2 linked regions of the Macaca mulatta genome follow. The protein of the gene in region 1 purifies or fractionates together with the protein of each later gene. This does not show direct contact. Links are inferred from orthologs where the notes say so. Each region holds a gene or a part of one and is shown on either strand. Other genes may lie near its edges. The genes, in order: IQGAP2 and RAC1.

Region 1 (3,818 bases):
ATGATATGCTATCTTATTCCCTTTGCTCAAAGAAACTTTGCAGGTTTTTCAGAGTTGCTGGTTTGTGATTCCCTTATAAGAATAAAGCTCTCTGACTGCCTCTGTTGGTTTAGTTCAGGACTCTCCATAAACATGGCTGATGTGTGAGAGTTTAGCTGGGTTCTGAACATTCAGGGTTCTCATAGCCACATTTCAATAGATAATCTAGTTTTAGTTTCCTCAGCTAGACTATCCAGGAATCGAAATCCTTCCATCTGGGGAATTACAAAGTAGCAGTTATCCATTAAAATATGTCCGTTACTATGGTGATTTGTCACTTTGGCAATAAAGCAGCTATTGATAATTGTTCCCAAATAAGGCTTGCTCTCAAAAAGATGAAGTAATTCCTTTCAAACTTCAAATCTCAGGAAGAACATGTTCTGGTTCTAGTCTTTGAACTTTGGCTGGAGGACTACTTTCATTTTGACATTAACTTGCATTGTGTAGCTTATGAACTGTGAAATTAGGGGATCAGAGAAAAATCAGCACCTTGATATTCTCTTTTCAGGAGGCAGACCATGCCACGGACATGGTGAGCCGTGCAATGATAGATTCCAGGACTCCAGAAGAAATGAAGCATAGCCAATCTATGATTGAAGATGCACAGCTGCCTCTTGAGCAGAAGAAGAGGAAAATCCAGAGGAATCTTCGGACATTGGAACAGACTGGACACGTGTCATCCAAAAATAAATACCAAGACATTCTCAATGAGATTGCCAAGGTTTTTGGAAACAGTATTCTTTCTTCTTCACTTAGCAGACATTTGCTAATCACCAGTCAAGTGCTGGGCACTCTGTGAGGTGGCATTAGGGATTCATGGTTGCATATGCTGTGGTTACTGCACTCTTCAATGTTACAGATTTTTAAAGGTTTCAAAGCACTTGATGACTTTTTTTTTTTTTTTTTTTTTTTTTTTGAGGTGGAGTCTCACTCTGCTGCCCAGGCTGGAGTGCAGTGGCGTGATCTCAGCTCTCTATAACCTCTGCCTCCCAGGTTCAAGCGATTCTCCTACCTCAGTCTCCGAAATAGCTGGGACTACAGGCGCACACCACCTCGCCTGGCTAATTTTTGTATTTTTAGTAGAGACAGGATTCCATCATGCTGGCCAGGCTGGTCTCGAAATCCTGACCTGGTGATCTGCCCGCCTCGGCCTCCCAAGCAGTTGATGACTTTTAAGAGAAAATAATCACAACACTTTGAAGTCATTAGGAGAGTTGAAACAGACCAGAAATAAATACTAAAAAATGTACTTGACAAGTTTGGTCTATACCTTTAAGCTAGTTTTAAAAATAACATTATTTGGAAGAGTTTTCTCCTGAGATGTTAGTTGTCATATAGCTCAGTTGCCTTAGAACCTGCCACTGAGATGAACTCTGTGTCCCAGATCATTTGTTTTTAAGCAATTTAACCTAAATGCAGTTCAGACTTGAAGATTAGTTTCTGTTTTCTTATCCCATGTTTTTACACTTGAGAAACTTCCTGAGCAAAGCGTCTCAACTTAGTGCAATGAAACATCACAGGAAGTGGCTGAGATCTGTTTGTCAAGGATAAGGAAGTATATATTTGGGTTAGAAGGATATTTCATTCTTTTTATTCAAACATGCAAATTAATATGGATCTAGAGGTTAAAGGCGGTTAAATGACCAGAAAAAAAATAATAAATTTTCTCATGTTCTAGGAGGGAAATGCGCCCAGCTTTGTTCTTTGATAGAAAGTTATGTTCAATTCTGGCAGTAGGCTTATTCCTTCTAGCCCAAGTGACTCAAGGGCAATAGCATTTCTTTCTTTAGTTTTGGGGTAGAAATATTTCTATTTGGGAATATGGGGTAGATAAATATATGCTTTTGCTTTAAAAAAGAAAAAGGCTATCATGAAGACATGATATTCTATTTAATGAATATTCTATTATATGAAGAATTTCTATTTAATGAAGAATTCTATTTAACAAAGAATATTCTATTCTAATATTCTATTCATGAAGAATTTTTACCTAAGGGCATGGGGAAGTTGTGGGGGGAGTGTATGTGTATGTGGGTATTTGTTTGAATTCCTAGGGGAATGGTTTTTAATTTGTCTACAAAAGAAAAACAATATTAAACAGGCATCATTTTCTTAAGTCAAACACTTTCATAACTTACCAATTAGAATTACCAAAAAAACTTATATCTGCAAGTTTAAATTTAGCATAGCTCTTGTAAGCTATAAGCAGCTTATGCAACTTAATGTTCTAGGAATTCTATTTAAAGCCAAGTAATAGTTATCAATGTTGAATCTTTTCACTCAGTCTTGACAGGCTAGTGTTGTTTTTTCAAACCTTGAGAAATATTTGTCAGATGAAAAAGTTTGTTCTTTTCTTATTTTAAAAATCAATTTAACAATTAAATGTAAACCTTTTTAGTTTAAAGTACTATTCAAAGAGGAATATTCAAAATAGTCTGAAGAGGCCAGGCACAATGGCTCATGCCTATAATTCCAGCACTTTGGGAGGCCAAGGCAGGCAGATCACTTGAGGTCAGGAGTTCAAGACCAGCCTGGCCAACATGGTGAAACCCTGTCTCTACTAAAAATACAAAAATTAACCAGGCATGGTGGCGCAGGCCTGCAGCCCCAGCTGCACAGGAGGCTGAGGCAGGAGAATCACTTGAAGCCCAGGGCATAGGTTGCAGAGATCAGGCCACTGGACTCCAGCCTGGGTGACAGAGTAAGACTCCGTCTTAAAAAAAAAAAAAAAAAAAGTCTGAAGAAATTGCATTTCTGCTGCTTTGTGCCCCTTTTAAAACACAATTTTTCCTTAAACTAAATGTGTAGTTATTCTAAAATAACTTATTTGCCTTTCCATCAAGAAAAAAATTAATGTTAACAAGTCTCTTAAAGTGAAATATGTACACTTTCCCGTTCTGAAGTAAAAAGGGATGGGAACCCTGTGGTGGTGTTGAGAGTAAAATAAGGTACCTGAAATAAGCTACAAGTCAAGTTACAAATAGTGACTTACTACTGCTTGATATTCTTCTTGTCCCAAATTGGCAATATCATAAAGCAAGCTTCTGCTTAAATATGATAGCCCTTACTTGTTGTTTTAGGATATTCGAAATCAAAGAATCTATCGTAAGCTTCGAAAAGCTGAATTGGCAAAACTTCAGCAGACCCTGAATGCACTTAACAAGAAGGCAGCATTTTATGAAGAGCAAATCAATTATTATGACACCTACATAAAGACTTGTTTAGACAACTTAAAAAGAAAGTAAGTTAAAATCATGTCACGTTCATTCGTAATGTCATGATTTATGAGATGTCAGTTCTGCATTTCTATGTATTTGGGTTGGGTATGGAAGAAAACTTTTTGCTCTGTCTTATAACTGAAAACTGGAGTCTCAGTTTTATTATTTGCCACTGTGAACTAAGAAGTCAGGAGCAAATGGAAGCTTTTCAATTCCCCACCAGCACTAGAATTAAAGTGACTTACCTGTTGCATATTGAACAAATAGCATTAGTAGTTGGGGAAGCACTTTCATTGTTCCTTTTGTCTTTTTTAGTCAAAGATTTTTTAAAATACTATTATTTTTAAAATCTCTTGTTTTTGGACTATATTTTGTATAATTGATCATGTTAGTTAATGCCAGATGTTTACTAATTGCACAGAGCAGCTGAATGTTTTTAAATTGCTTAATGGTTTTAAAAAATTACTATTGACACAACTGGCAAAATTTGGTAGCTGTCTATTATCCATTAGCATAAGTATTATAGGTTTTTATATACAGTATAGCCATTTTTAATGAATG
Region 2 (3,818 bases), on another chromosome or scaffold:
GAATTCCTGGGCTCAAGCACTCCTCCTGCCTCAACATCCCAAAGCTCTGGGCTTACAGGCGTAAGCCACCCAGCCAGCCTCTGGAAAGGACCTTAAGGGTGTGTGGGGTTCACCAACCTCTACTCTTCCATGGCCAGTCTAGGGTCCCAACGTCTGCATCTTCAGCCCCAAGCTCTGGGCCAGGATGTGCACAGCCCCCGACGCACGTTTCTCCACCAGAGCTTCGCCGCTGTTCGACAGGTCCAAACGTGAACGTCACCTCCACTCCTGCCGTATTGTTTGGGCTCACCCAGTTCTCCCCTGGAGGTGGCACTCCCTCTGTCCCTCCTGTGTGGAGACATGCATTGAAAATGACTGTCTCCAACAACCCGGGACTTTAAAGCGAGGCAAACAAACGCACACCAGGAACTTGTTCATCAAGTCTCAAAAACACCAGTATTACCAGTTGTATGATTCAAGGATTTATTAAGTCATACATGCAAAACATAATGCTAACTGCATTAGCAAAAGATCAATGTAAAAACACTCCACAATTCTGCAACTGTCAATTTAAAAAATCCTGTTGTCGTGGCTGAAAGGTTCCGCGTTGTATTCTTGCCGGTGAGTTAAGTTGTACAGAACATTGTCAGCACTAGCACAGTTTACAGAACCTCACAGACCCAAAGGAACATCATTAGGCAAAGCGACTACAGGAGGCGTGTGTCTGCGTGGGCGAGGTAAAGAGGGTCAGTATTGGTCAAGTGACAGTGTCAGTAATCTGGCAAGACAGTGATGTTAAGAAGGTTCATAGTTTAAGAATTATCTAAAATATTTTAAAAACTATAAAGCTGCAACACATGATTTTTACACCTAGTTACTAGAAAACTAAGGAAAGCACTTATTAGCTTTGAATAAAGTAACATGGAAAGCACTTTTACTCATCTACAAAAAAACCTTCTAATGCATTATCAGAAAGATTTTATAATACAAGGAGGCATATTGCTCAGTAAGAAGGGGTCCTATAAGAAAAGCACTTACTAAGTTAGCGACTAAGGGAACGACCAGTTTAAAGATGAATTAAATGCCCAATTTGGGGAGGGATGGCAGGTGTAAGAGAAAGGAAAAGCTTAAGAACATTTCCTGATAATACCAACCTTTCTTTCATCATCTACTGCATTTGACAGAAATTAACCTTTTAGAGTTTTTACCCGTGACACTTTTGTTCCTTGTACAATGTAGTGTAAATCTCCACTTCGTATTTTGTCAAAATACTGTCTTTGTCCTTTGATCACACACACCCCACCCGGCACACCCACAGCTAAACAGAATTCTTCATTAGAGGAAACACGAGTTCTGTTCAAAATCTCCGCAAGAGCTGGTCAGAAAACTCACTATGAAATCAAAAAGACTGATCCAAAGAGCTGAGCTGTTACACTCACTCCATTACAGTACAATGTTATGTCGTGAACATGGGCCGCTAAATCACTGGTGAGTTCAATGGCAACGCACCATTCGGGAGGCTGTTCTGCTTTACACATCTGAGAACTACTGAGCAAGTGTCTGCATCTCCTAACTGCAGAGGCTACAGTCTTCTCAAAGACGAAGGTCCTTACACAGTTTAGTGCTTGGTGTTCTTAGCACAACAATGCAGTGTAGTTCAGAAGGTATTTTGGCAACTCTTAATCTGAGCAAGAATAGGGTGGGCTTTTGAAAAATAAGGCTTTAAGAAGGTTTGTCATTTTAGGGCTAAATTTTAATAGAATGTGAGTCTGAACTCTTACATTTAGAACAAACAAAAACCTTCAAATTACTGATTGGTTCAAAATGGTTTTATGGAAAAATCAATCTGTAACAAAAAGTTGGCATTGAGTGCGAAGGCTCCACCGTTTTTTTTTTTTTTTTTGAGCAAAGCGTACAAAGGTTCCAAGGGACAGGACCAAGAACGAGGGGCTCAGACGTTTACAACAGCAGGCATTTTCTCTTCCTCTTCTTCACGGGAGGTGGGCAGAGGACTGCTCGGATCGCTTCGTCAAACACTGTCTTGAGGCCTCGCTGTGTGAGCGCCGAGCACTCCAGGTATTTCACAGCACCTACAGGAAAACACAACCACACAGCAGTGTACACTTGAGCCCACTCTCTTCTGATCACAACACCGGCGGGAGGCAGCTCCGGGGGCCTGGGCACTTTCTGCCGGCTCCCAGCCCTGCGTCCACCTTCCAACGCTGACATTAAGACCCAGAAGGCGATGCCAGCTGGTTCCCCAAGAGTACAACCAGGCCCTGAGTGGGAGACACACACCCTCCTTTCCCAGACTGGACTCCAGTCTCTGTCACTACAATAAAAGAGGTACAAGGCAGAGGAAAAACGCAGGATTCCATACCAATCTCCTTAGCCATGGCTAGACCCTGTGGATAGGTGATGGGAGTCAGCTTCTTCTCCTTCAGTTTCTCGATCGTGTCTTTATCATCCCTAAGATCAAGTTTAGTTCCCACTAGGATGATGGGAGTGTTGGGACAGTGGTGCCGCACCTCAGGATACCACTAGATGTGAAGAAGGAACAGAGGTTGTGATGTGCTCCTTTACAGACGCCCTTCACCTAAATCACACCCAGCCGGCGGCACTTGTGCCAGACACCTAACCTCAGGCACAGCCTCCCCACCGAGCCTTCATGTGGTTCCCACCTTCAATCTGAGCCTTGAGCCATAAGAAACATCTCAGGTGTTCCATGAGCAAGCTAGGACTCTGGATCATGGCCGGACAGAACCACGACCAGAGAGAATGGGCTCTACAACCGCAAGGGAAGAGGCGGAAGGGAAGAGAGTTCCTCCCAAAGCAAATAAACCACTTTGTTTTTGGTAAAACAAGTTCTTAGGGTCATCTGAGAAAATTCATCATCTGTTCAGAAACGAGAATAAACTACCTAGCCCAAGGTCTCAGGTCTGCCGCCATTATCCCCACTGAAAATGTCCCTACTGAAGGGCCTGTCTCGTCATTTTCACTAAGAAGTTTGTGAAAGAGACTGGAGTAGAAAGAAATGGTGGTTAGTTTTATTAGACCAATTCTGAGTGCCTCATTATTTTAATGAGGTCCAGGAAACTTCTGAACCAGAACCTGAAGCTTTAAAAATCCACATATTAGGCCAGGCACAGTGGCTCACATCTGAAATCCCAGCACTTTGGGAGTTTGAGGTGGGTGGGTCACTTGAGGCCAGCGGTTTGAGACCAGTCTGGGAAACATGGTGAAACCCCGTCTCTACTAAAAGTACAAAAATTAGCCAGGTGTGGTGGCGGGCGCCTGTAATCCCAGCTACTCAGGAGGCTGAGACAGGAGAATCGCTTGAACCGGGAGGTGGAGGTTGCAGTGAGCCAAGATCGTGCCACTGCACTCCAGCCTGGGTGACAGTGCAAGACTCCATCTCAAAAATAAATAAATAAAAATAAACTGCTGATGGCTCAGGCGCAGTGGCTCACACCCATAATCCCAGCACTTTGGGAGGCTGAAGTGGAAGGATCACTTCAGCCCAGGAGTTTGAGACCAGCCAGGGTGTACAAAACCAGCGCTACAAAAAATTTTTAAAGATTAGCCAGGCACAGCGGCGCACGTTTACTGTCCCAGCAACACAGGAACGGAGGCAGGAGAACTGCAGGAGAACTGTTTGAGCCCAGGAGCTCAAGGCTACAGTGAGCTCCGATGTCACCACCACACTCCAGCCTGGACAACAGGGTGAGACCCCTGTCTCAAAAGAATAAAAAACCCAATCATGTACTTAAGTAGCAAATTCCTATAACCAATTTAAATAACTGAAAATTCCTAGGCTAAGTGATATTTTAAAGTATTTA

The links.
Region 2: the proteins of IQGAP2 (region 1) and RAC1 purify together in Homo sapiens (affinity purification with mass spectrometry; 5 studies listed by BioGRID and IntAct, with this or other methods). This does not show direct contact. The link is inferred for Macaca mulatta from reciprocal best matches to the Homo sapiens genes IQGAP2 and RAC1.

What each region holds. Positions count from the first base shown.
Region 1 is NC_133411.1:83,058,793-83,062,610, forward strand, and holds part of IQGAP2 (ras GTPase-activating-like protein IQGAP2), read left to right. Parts: intron 1-547; coding exon 548-760; intron 761-3,119; coding exon 3,120-3,280; intron 3,281-3,818. UniProt on the Homo sapiens protein: Binds to activated CDC42 and RAC1 but does not seem to stimulate their GTPase activity. Associates with calmodulin.
Region 2 is NC_133408.1:44,608,643-44,612,460, forward strand, and holds the end of RAC1 (ras-related C3 botulinum toxin substrate 1), read right to left. Parts: intron 2,520-3,818; coding exon 2,360-2,519; intron 2,070-2,359; coding exon 1,939-2,069; 3' UTR 449-1,938; downstream 1-448. UniProt on the Homo sapiens protein: Plasma membrane-associated small GTPase which cycles between active GTP-bound and inactive GDP-bound states.